Linked DNA regions of Drosophila melanogaster. The protein of the gene in region 1 purifies or fractionates together with the protein of each later gene. This does not show direct contact. Each region holds a gene or a part of one and is shown on either strand. Other genes may lie near its edges.

Region 1 (7,176 bases):
TATCAAAGAAATAGTGTTGCGTGTAAAACTGTATACTATTTGGATACTTAAATACTAGCAAATCGAGTTTTTTTTTCTAATTCTACTGTTGACGAGACTATTTCGAATTAAAAAGTGTTGTATCTTCACAGGTTAATACCATAGCTACGTTATTGCCCAGAATAAAAAATCCACCACCAAATAGATTGTGCCTAGTCCACTTTAATGGCATGTATGTGCGAGCGAAGATGTGTAAGAAGCTCCGTGAGGTTTCCCACTTATTTTTGGTCGATCTTGGAATCAAACATTCTGGACCTTTTTTCGATTTTAAGGATATCAATGATGAGTTAAAAGCATTGCCCTGTTCCAGCCAACTGGTGCAGCTCAAGAATGTATTGAATTGTGACTATTCCAATGATGTCATTGCCTTCAACTCGAAATTCGTGGGCAAGAAATATATGGCAACCATTAAAAAGTGCCCTGGATTACACCTCGTGGAACTAGTAAACACGGAGATGAACTTTTCGGTAAATGAACAGTTAAACGCATTTTTCAACAGTAAGAAGTTGCTACGAAACCCTAATTCTGCGGCCGAGAATATCAAGTCATGTTCCTTAGAAGGTCCGCAACCTTCACATATTGATCAACCCATTGCAATTCCTGCAATCGAATGTAAGAAAATGTTAACGAAACCAGAGGTACAGAATGAGTGTGAGGAGATACTCAAGCAACAGAACTCCGGACAAATTGATCAATCAAAATCAACTAATGTACTGGTTACAGAAGGAGCCTCTAATAAGATGCTTGGCTTTATTGATCTTGCTGATAAGGCAACTAAAACTGATCAGGACACTGCACCAAAGCCTAAAGATGAAGACGTAAAACATTCCTTAACACAATGCTTAACACCAAAAGCTAATTATCCGTTACAACTTCCAAACCATAAAAAAAATTTGGAACTTCCCGTTATCCATAAAACTAATGCCCAAACAAATGGAATCGTAATGTCGAAAAACGAACATGTCCTAAAACCTGTGAGTTGATAATATAAATTCTCATTGAGAGCCACATTTTATTAATTTATTTATTAGCCTTTTGAGATGCGTAGATTTTCAATCGAATCTAAGGAAGGCATTGATCTCATCGTTGTGGATAGTACAAAAAAAAATCGAGGTATTTTTGGGGCCTTTGACAGCACCTACGCCTCCGAATTTTCCGCCTTGCACTCTCGTTTATCAGAAATTACAGACTGCGAGCCTTATAAGCCAGTGTAACTATACTATAACCATACCAATGTAAGTTTATATTTAATTAACATTTTTGACAGTGTCAGGGAATATGTGCTTGCCAGATTTGAGGGTTCCTGGTATCGTGGCAAAGTGGAACAGATTATAGTTGTTCCACGGCAGCAGACAAAGTACCGGGTAATGTACCTCGATTACACGAATGTAGAGGACATAACCGAAATGGATATCCGTCGCTATCCATTAGACTTCACCGCTCCCTGTGCCACAAACCTTTGCGTGATTGACGGTATGGATATTAAACATTTGTCTTGAGCATAACATTTGAACAAACACTTTATAGAATTCCCGCACAACCCGAATGCAGCACAGGTTTCCTATCTGGCTGAGGTTTTGAAGGTCCATCAGTCAGTTCATATTGATAGTATCAAATATATCAACCATATAGCCGTAATTAAATCGGGAAGTCTTATTCAGAAGCTGTTGAGCTTGTAAATTTTAAGTGCATCAAATGCCATTTACTTGACACCACAACTAAATCGGGTCAAACACATTACGAAGTTATTGCGAATAAGCATTACGTTTTATAATTTTAAAAACATTTATATATAAATAAAATTCCATTAAATAACAACGTTAAAGGCTTTTAATACACAATGTTATGTTCCCTAGCTATTGATGCCGTTGATTCTCGATTTAAAATTTAAGTTACACACAACCGGATTACAACAGACGGAAAGGACATGCACAAGAGGTTTTAGTTTGTTTGGTTTTAGTTTCTCAAATGTTAAAAATGGTAGTGAAAGCGGGTCTACAACGACAAAGGCACTGTTTGGTGTGGATCTGAGACTCGCTCCAAGGCATTAGGTGTTCTTTTTCATTGTCATCTCGTGGGCGGTGCGCAGACGTCGTCTGAGTTCGTTTGGAAATCGGTCATAGCACTTTTTGCACACCGGCTTCTCGTCGTACTCGTAGAATTTCGATTTTTGTGTCATCTTCGTGTCGCACACGGAGCACGCAAAGTGGTGCACACACCAGGCCTTGTTCAAGGCAGTGAAAACTGTTGGCATTATGGAATGAGCGCATTAAATAAACCCAGAATATAGTTCAATTAAGTTACTCACCATCGCCTCCAATAACCTGGTTGCAGACGAAGCACAGGTTGCCAAAGAGCTGATGATAGTGCGTCTCGCAGTAGGCCAATCCCCGCTTCTCGTAGTGTCGGTGACCCAAGAAGGGTTTCTCGCACTTGGCGCACACGAAATGTTCCACATGCCAGTGCTTTCCGAGCGCCGTTACCACCCTCTCCTCAATCGGACGACGACAGGCACCACATATGGGAATGCCCATTTTATCGTGACAACGCAGACAATACAGTTCGTTCTATAATGGAATAATAATTCAGTTGCTTCTTATTTGCTAAAGAAAAAAAAACCCACCATATCGTTAGCAGCCAATCCTGGCCGGCTCTTGACCTCCCGAGCAGTGGAATCCAACTCTGTGCCGCAGGCCGTGCAACTGAAGTGATAGCCGTGGTACACTTCGCCCCGGAATCGCAAAGGCTCCTCGTCGATGAGGCCGCTGAAAAGCAGAGTAATTAGCAACATGTTTTCACCTAAAGCCTTTGAAACCTACTGGCATTTTTGGCATACATAGCGGCCGGTAATCTCCGCCTTCACCTTGGCATTGCACTCGTGACACAAGGCGCGGTTCTGGTTCTTGATGAATCCGCAATCAGCCAGCTCCTTGGCGCACAATTGGCAGCGGAAGCACTGTGGATGCCAGCTAGCTGACATGGCCTTGATGACCCGTCCGATGACGAACTCGCCGCACTTGTTGCAGCAGGGAGCGAAGAGCACGTGAAAGTCGCGTTCACAGTACTTACGGCCCTCGAACTCGTAGAATATCCCATCCTGGAAGGGTCGGAAGCACTGGGCACATCTAGAAAATGTTTATTAGTGAGGGTATTAGTGAAACAACTACATTGAGGTTTACTTACACGAAGCACTGGGTGTGCCAGAGTTCTCCATTGGAGTTAACAATCTTCTCAGTCGGCTCGAAGCCGTCGGCACATCGCGTACAATGCATGGCACCCAGCGACATGTTCGCTGCCTGGACTCTGTGAATTAAGAAGAAGATCAGGATCAGTTGTTGGTAAGTAACTAACCAATTCAGAGGCCATTACACTTCAGCCTTAGAGTACATCATGGTTATAGCTTGAGCGCAAAGAAAAACGACTTTAGGGCAGGGCGTGAAATGAGAAACTGGACAAAACAATGAGACTTATCGCTTGCCGGCTCTGTTGACGATGTCTGAATCATATTTCCTTCGAATGCACAGCCAAAAAGCTTTCTGGCATTCCGTGGAAGTTTAGCTTTCATTACAGAGAGTGTCGCATGGCAGTTGGATATCAAGCGTGATACGCTGCAGATGTGATGGCTTGGTGATATATCGTTTCGGAACAGGTTATATATACATATATAAAATATATACGAAGAACTATCATATTCGCTTTAAGCTGGATAACAATGAATGGCTATAATGAGTAATTGAAGTAATTATTACAAGCAGGAGCGCCATTTGAAAAGTTTGTATATAAACAATATATATAATAAGATGTAACTATCAACTCCCCATTACTGGTTGAGTCATTGAACATTCCTTGGCCTCCAAAAGGGGTTACAAATTCAAGCATCCAATTGGAATTGGGTTTGCCGCCAACACAACAGCGGCCCACTCATCATAATCAAATCCGACGAATACACACAAAAATACGAAGAGTAAACAATACACAGACACGCACTCTCGCACAAACACACACACACACTCGAGTGGCGGCGTTTAAAAATAAATTTGAATATGACCATGACGTCATCGATGGAGTAAACATCTGGCAGGAAAATTGCATTGAATGGGGGTCCAAAGCACCACCATCACTGGCAGAGGGTTAACGCTGGATTAGGGCATGAATGATAGGCACTGCTAGCCTGAATTAGTTATATTTTTTTATTAATTAGCGAAATGCTTATTTGTGCGAATGGATAACGATGATTATTATGCTGCCAAATGATGCAATATGTGGGCGTTTTGAAGACAAGGACGTTAAGAAAGTGGGGCGGAACATTCTGCTTACTGCACGGGCGGCATTCTGTGGGCTTTTCTTTTTTAGTTGCTTTCAACTGGTTTTCACTTGCGAACAACGGCACCTGTTGCACCTGGTGTACAACGTTTTCTGATCACGGCGAGTGAAACACTGCAAAAACATATAGAAATGATCAATCTGTGTCTTTTGGCTTTAAGCTCTGCTCGCTTGGCGGCCTTCTAGCCAGATCCGGTTGATTTTCAGCCAAGAAGACGATCTGCGCAGCGCTATCGCAGCACAAAAACAACAACACCTATATTGCCAAAATGGGCAAATCTCTGGAATTTCACGCGTTTCACTTAAGCATGTTCACATTTGAAGAATTGCATTCAACGGAAAAAGTACTTTTTACCTTCAGAGAAACCTTTTTAATTAAAGCCACAGTTTGCTGCAATTAAATTACTTTTCATTTAACTAACAGCTTCCGTGGAAAAAGACGCAGAAAAAACCACTCTACTTTATCACTAAAAAATCCCTGTACAACCTGCCTATCGATAGCTCTTCTGTTCTCGAGGCAGGTAGCCCTGAATGTCAATCGATAAACACCCAATACTACTGGGCGCCAATTTAAATTCGCTATTAGCCTATGTTACCGAAATACATCAGTTAAAAGAACTTTACGATTTAAGGCGCCACGCTTATCGCAGCGTGGCATTTTTGCTTCTTTGTCTCACCTTCTTATCAGCTGCTGGCCAACTGCTGTTCTTCTTCGAAACAGTTTCGTAACGCGCTCTTATCAGCTTACTGCCTCTACTTATAATTTCACGTACTATTTGTTTGTAAACAAGACCGGTTCGCATGCCAATTTAGGCTGCAGGCAAGAAATCCCTTTAGCATTGAATTTGATTGATTTTCTTTTTGCTATGTTACACGCCAATTGGGGAAATACATAAATAAATGTGCAGGGAAACTATAAAAGAATTCAATGCCACAAATGTCATAACAGTTTCGCTGATACTTATCATTAGAAAATATGTATTGATAAGAGAATCAAGAGCTTGTAAACTTGCTATGAAACCCACAATCACTATGAAATGAGTTTCTTTTTAAGCAACAAAAAGGAAAAGAAAAGTTTTACAGGTGTAAGTTATTTTTTCATATAATTCCCGATCGCCAATAATTTAAAATTCTCTACAAAGAGCCAGCATTTTGATGTGCCCACGGAACATGCATGTAAATGCATTATTTGTTTGCTTTAATTATTTTCCCGAATGTCTGTTTGCGGCAAACTTCCGCCTCGTGGGTGTGAGGGTCATATTTTTGAAACACCCCTCGCCGACTTCCGCGATGTGAACGGAGATAAAACTCCAGCTGCAGTTTCAGAATTTGCTTTATTTGTATCTGAGTATATATAGTATAGTTTTGTATTGGCTGGTGTTTTATGGAGCGTTGTCCCGTTAAAACGGGTTGCCAAGCGAATCGATCAGCGCGGCGCTCTTTGTTTATCAATCTCACTCTTTTGTCAGTCGCCTTTATTTATTATTATTAAATGAGTTTTTTTCCAGCATAACAAAAAAAAAACAAGGTGTCCCCACAAGGCCGCCGGTTGTGCGAGCGAGACGAACGAACAACAAGCGTCATAAGAAAGAGATCCAATACCATCCACAATCTAGCACTGAAAAAAATGTAACCCCATATTACAGCATATGTCTTACTTAACTATTAAATTATGCTGTTGACAAATAAATTTGTGTATTTTAACGTATATTCTTAACGCTCATCCAGAATTTAGTTCTTTTGAACGTTTGCTCTGACACAGTTTGGCTTCCATTTTTTAGATACAAATACATTTTTTGTCAGTATTCACTGTCACACGCTTGGAAAAAGGTGGTGGAACCTGGAAGCCGGGGAACTGCGAGACTTTCGGCACGTAGCAACGCGTAGCTGTAAGTTTATTACGCATGATTTTATGCTGTTGTTTACCAAAAATTCGCCAAGGCAAGCCCCCCATCCACATTCAAGCGGTGACTCGGGCGTATGAGCAACATGCTGAGGCATATGGAAATCGGCGTGGAATGTGGAAACTTTCAGCGGATGCAGTGCAGTTGCAGTGGGTGTCTAAAAATAAATGCAATTATGCTCTGTATTATTGCAGCTGCGTTCCAAAGCCGGCAAACCAGATGGACAACTGGTGCTGGTGCTGGCAGAGAAGCAGTTGAAATTTTTTCAAGGGGGTTTTCCATTTAATCATTTTCAATGTCATTTCAATGCATTGCAGCAATGTTTCGATAGTGTTATCAACTGCAACTAATGTAGTATATATGTAATAACAATTGGATCTTTGATCTATTTAGAAAGTTCTGGAAACTAGCCAAGTGGTTTTTTGATCTGATGATGTTTTCTAGCTAGACCAAATATTTTATTTATATGGCTCTCATTACTTTCAGACGGCTCTGTGAAAACGTGGGTTTCTCTTTTAGAGCTCAAAACGATTGCAGCTGCGGGAAAAAGCTTAAAATCTGAGCTTCCAAGCTCGTCCATTCATCTTTTTGGTCGGTTTCTGGGCACGACATAAAAAATTCCAAATATGCGGTCGCGTTGCATAAAAAAAACGCAATTATAGCCGCTGATCGCGTCCGCATTGCATTTTGGCCCTGTCTTATCGCCATTCGTATTTTATCGTTATTGCACGAGCGAGCTTATCAAGAAATTTCGAAACTGAAATCCACCTTACTGGGGGTTTTACTTGAACTGAAACGGTTTACCTCGGCACGTGAATACAATCAAAAAATTCCGCTGTCCCCAGAAGATACAGTATGACCTCTACAACGTTATAATTTGTTTCGTTAACTTGTTTTGAAATAGCTAGAT
Region 2 (4,686 bases), on another chromosome or scaffold:
TGAAACTTCGCTCGGCTATTGTGAAAATCATAAAAAGCATGCGCATGGTTGCCACCTTGTTTCGAAACGAAACACATAACATTAGGACATATCTGGCTAAGCGGCTTAGTTAAGCGGCTGCAATCAACGCAAGTTACTAAATACTGGCTTTTAGATTCATGGCCAACATCTGGCCAAGGACCAAAATCCGGTCAGCAAAGTAACATTTTCAAATTATACCGGCCAGCAATCGAAAATCGATGCGAAATCGTTCCCGAACGGGAAGCGATCTGGCAGCCTGCTCGCAGCTGTGATCGATACCAGACCGTTGCGAGTTGCGCGCGCAACCGCGACAATTCAAATAGCACAGCGTTCAGAAAATTACTAAGGTTTGTTTCTCAATCAATTCGAGACGCTCGAAAGAACTTACATGTGAATAGGATGGAAGCTGGCGTTTGTGAGTGCTGCAGCCCCAGATAAATTTTGCGCCTTGGAACTGTTTAAAATAGAATAACACATATGCTATTGGCAATATTTATTGATTTTTCTGATCCAAATTTTTAACGTACACAATAAAATTTTTTTTTAAGACTTTTCCGTAAACTTCTACATTTACAGCGTTAAAATCTGATCTGTGACATAATTTGCAAAAGCTCTGTGTGATCTAAAGGCACAATCTCGGTTATTGTGTTCAAATAATGTATTAATACAATAAATTCACTTAGTAACAACTACAACGTCTGGCACGTGAGTAAGACAAGTTAACAACTGGCCGCCGGATTTTGGGTTTGGGTTAGCTCTGCTCTGCTCTGCTCCTTCCTGTTCCGAGCAATCTGAATCTGGAGCAGATCGCAGTGGTTAGACGTACGACACATAAATATATATATATATATATAAACATTCCTTGGGCTGATTATACGCGACGCAGCATTTAGTTGTGGTTTTGAGAGTTAGGATCAGTAAGCTTTAACCGCTGCATCGCCTACAATCAGTTTCGAGAACGCACATAAATTAGGCGTGTAAACACTATCAAAAAGTTAATATAAAATGTAAAATTGGCGCCGCTTGTTGCTCCTGCAACCCGCTGGCTCGTTCCATCCGGGTTTCACTCAGGCGAAGTCCCTGAACATGGTGAACAGGCTGTATAGGACGCGCAGGGTGGACTTGAGGTCCATGTTCACGATGTCCTCCGGCCGCGCCTTTGGTTTGGGCAGGCCCACGTCCTGCATCAGGTCGAAGGCGAAGGCCACGTTGCTGACCATCTGATCCACGTCCTGCGGCGTCAAATGGAACTCGTGCAGCGGCACAAAGAATCCACCGAGCAGGCCCATCAGCAGGCACAGGTATACGCCGTCGCGAAAGTCCGTGTTCAGATCGCTGATCTCAAAGTTCAGCTTGGCCAGGTGCTTGTTCACGAACGTGATCAAGGACTTCTTCACCACGGCCAGCTTGTCCGGCGCACAGTCGATCAGCGTGTCGAAGGCGTCCTTTTCGCAGCGCATGCCCAGGTCGTCGTACTCGGACGTTATCTGCTCCTGGAACTTCTGCGCGTTCAGCACGCCCGCATTCTTCTCCGCAATCACGACGGTCACGAACACGTTCTCTGGCAGGCGAACGGGCGCCCGGAAGTGACGCACCAGTGCCACCAGCAGATGTAATATGGCCACAATGTTCTTCGAGTGCACGCTGGCCACCGACCACTTGGGAATCTTTTGGTGAAAGCCGAGTGTCTGTGGGTGTGGGCAAGGATAAAATTTATTCTTATATCGCGAGAAAAGGGAATGTTAATTGTAAATCGAATAAAAATTATTCTATTCGACTTTAAGAATGGATAAATAATTAAATGTTGGTAACTCCGATTTTTAAATCCTGCAAAACATAAACTACTACTACTTACATGGTTGACGGCCTTCAGGACGATGTTGAGCTTCTCGTGCTGGCCCTGCTCTGACTGGGTGACCTCAGGAACGTCCAGCTTCTTGCCGGTGAGCTTCTCCCACAGCTTGTGCAGCACCTGGCCGTCATACATGTCCTCTTCCAGGTGCTGAACAATTATGCGCTGCTCGGCCAGCTCGTCGTTGATCCAGTCGACGAGGATGCGCTGCAGCTTTATCACCTGGGGATCACTGATGGACTGTGGATCGATGACGGCGCGCTGTTCGTGCTCGCCTGTAGGATCAAATGTGATGAGTTGTGGGAAATGCGATGGGTATACGAGGAGATGCCCCTTCAAAACGAATGCACTTACGCAGGGCATAGTCCTCCGGCGGGATGTCATACTGGCTGGGCGATCCAGGCGAGTCGATGGCGTACTTGCCCTCCTCTTGGACCTTCTTCACTGCAAATGGAGCAAGCGGATGCGTATTTAGGGTATCAACAAGGTAAACAAAAACGGTGACGACACAAGGCCATCTCACACAAACGCACACACTCTCGATTATCAGCGCCGTTTGCTTGTGTGGGTCAACAGTGACGCAATGTTCTGATTAATCAGCGCATCCGCACATCTGTTCCCAGAAGAGCTTCCAGTGCGCAGGGGGAGGATCCATTGGGTCATTTTGGGCCACTTTTCGGAGGTTCAGGGGTCCAAGAATGGAATACTCTGGGATACCCATCAATTCCTGGCCGACAATAGCCATCTGGAGAGCTCCAATCATCAAGTGGACTTACCTTCGCGGGTGCCGCGTTTGCGGCCCAAAGTGCTGAACTTGTCCCAGAAGCTGTCCTCCTTCTCGCCCTTTTTAATGGCGGTGGGCGTGTGCGGGGATTTAGGGCGGTTCAGTGTGGACATGGTGCTGCTGGATTCCAAGAATTCCGGACTAAGTGAACAGTTTGTGTTATTGTTTCGATTCGTTTCGGGCGGAGCTGAGCAATCAGTTTCCCTTGGGGCTGCCACCTGATCGCAGGCCCACCACACATGTTGTCCAACACTGGCGTTCGGACTCAAGAGAAACTTCCAAAAAAATCGAATAAAAACTAAATTGCCAATTATAAAAATTGTTTAAAAAGACCTTAGATTAAATTAAAACAATGAGCTTAAATGTTATTTTTCATTTATAATTTAAAAAAAATGTGGCTTTTGACAACAACAGCTAGAAGAAATTCATATCAGCTTAATAGTTTTTGAATTTGTACATCAAATTAAATTGTTGGAAATTTTAAAAAAATTATAATGCGTAGATCATTAGATCATTGATTAAAAAGCACAACAACATATGTATGTATGTATGTCCTTCATACCGAATCAGATCAGATATAATTCGTATATATTAGATATGCTATATCCAGAAAGATAAATTTCGTACCGCTTAAAAATTATTGTACCACATTGCGTATACAGATAACTACCAATCCAATGATTTAAAGGCTTTCAGAATAGTTACATATATGTATAATACGGAACTAGGGCTATACTACGTCTATGGTTTAGATGGAGTTGGGCAACTGGCAGGCGCGCACAGCCACGAGCTGCAACAGAACGAAGATCGGCGAGAAGACCTCCGAATACTCGAGGCCCGTCTTGCTGGATAGCTTCAGGCAGAGCAGGTACTTGAAGATGGCGATGAGCACCAGGAAATACGTGCTCCACATGAAGCGATGCAGGGCTTTGCGCTTGTTGTTAGAGTCCAGGTACATGCGGATGCCCACAATGACGCAAAAGTACGCGTTGCAGATGTCGATGAAGAACAGGGGGCTGAAGACGGTGAACCAGTCGCCCATGGGCTCCGGGAGTATGCCACCGGGTCCGGCCCTGGCCTGCAGATGGAGCTTGACGGTCAGCGTGATGGTGAACACCAGCAGGCCGCACAGATTGACCAGAATCTCGAACTCGGTGAGCCCCAGCCAGCGCACCAGCTCCGAGAGTTTGAACATGCTACTGCCTGGCCTTCGCCTTGCCTCGGAACTGGCCCAGGGACTGGGCTTGCGTCTGGGACTGCGACGGTTGCGGCACGGCGATGTCGAAGAGACTGTTATTGAGGATCTTGATGTGCAGGGCCGAGTTGTTGCGCTGGCGGAAGGTTATGTCCTCGGCATCGCACAGCGGGTGCAGTTCGTCCACCAGCTGAACGGTGGAGGTGTTGATGGCGTAGCTAAGGGCGCCGTCAGAATTCTGGACGAGGCGTAGGGCGATATTGAGGCCGCGGGTTACGGAGAAGCCCATGCAATGCAGAAAGATCTCGTGGGCGCCGGAGTTAATCAGCTCCTCGCAGCGGCGCTGCTGGGCCTGTCAAGGAGATGGACTCTGTCACTTAGCACATGGGCGATTCACCATCCAGCATGAGTTCAGTTCTACTTGCCTTAAAGTCTGTCTTGCTGGTGATGTAGATGTTGTGGCGGTCGCTAACAGCGGGACGCGGCGGCTGCTTGCGCACCACTCGGTGGTTCTGTTGTTTGTGGTATTTGGCGGATCTCGGCTTGGTCCCGTGCTCGGGATAATTGCTTCCCATCATCAGCGGCGGAGGAGGCGACTTGTGTTTTCCATTTACCTGCGCGTGTCGCAGTTTCGGACTCGCGACTCCATTCCGAATCGCACGCTGGCCAACACTGGCCAACTCTAGCGAACACTAGGCAATAGCTGAGCGATCTGGCAGCCTGGCTCTAGCTGTCACCGTGACAGCTCTCGATAGTTTTGAGCCAGCCCATCGCTATAGCTATCGCCAGGCTCGTGAGATTCTCGCCAGTTGAAAATTTTTCGTCGTACTCTCG

The links. Proteins that work in one complex are often made in the same cells at the same time.
Region 2: the proteins of stck (region 1) and parvin purify together in Drosophila melanogaster (affinity purification with mass spectrometry, with the first as the bait; 2 studies listed by BioGRID). This does not show direct contact.

What each region holds. Positions count from the first base shown.
Region 1 is NT_033777.3:8,354,637-8,361,812, reverse strand, and holds stck (steamer duck), read right to left. Parts: upstream 3,486-7,176; 5' UTR 3,432-3,485; coding exon 3,409-3,431; intron 3,343-3,408; coding exon 3,223-3,342; intron 3,165-3,222; coding exon 2,859-3,164; intron 2,805-2,858; coding exon 2,663-2,804; intron 2,607-2,662; coding exon 2,348-2,606; intron 2,284-2,347; coding exon 2,087-2,283; 3' UTR 1,853-2,086; downstream 1-1,852. Other genes in the region: veneno, read left to right, coding at 132-1,013, 1,071-1,249, 1,307-1,512, 1,567-1,718.
Region 2 is NC_004354.4:19,744,273-19,748,958, reverse strand, and holds parvin (parvin), read right to left. Parts: upstream 2,919-4,686; 5' UTR 2,771-2,918; coding exon 2,650-2,770; exon of another isoform or gene 2,472-2,649; intron 2,318-2,471; coding exon 2,228-2,317; intron 2,149-2,227; coding exon 1,877-2,148; intron 1,710-1,876; coding exon 1,089-1,709; 3' UTR 501-1,088; downstream 1-500. Other genes in the region: Alr (augmenter of liver regeneration), read right to left, coding at 1-46; CG33932 (uncharacterized protein), read right to left, coding at 3,406-3,852; Rpp20 (ribonuclease P protein subunit p20), read right to left, coding at 3,854-4,204, 4,278-4,430.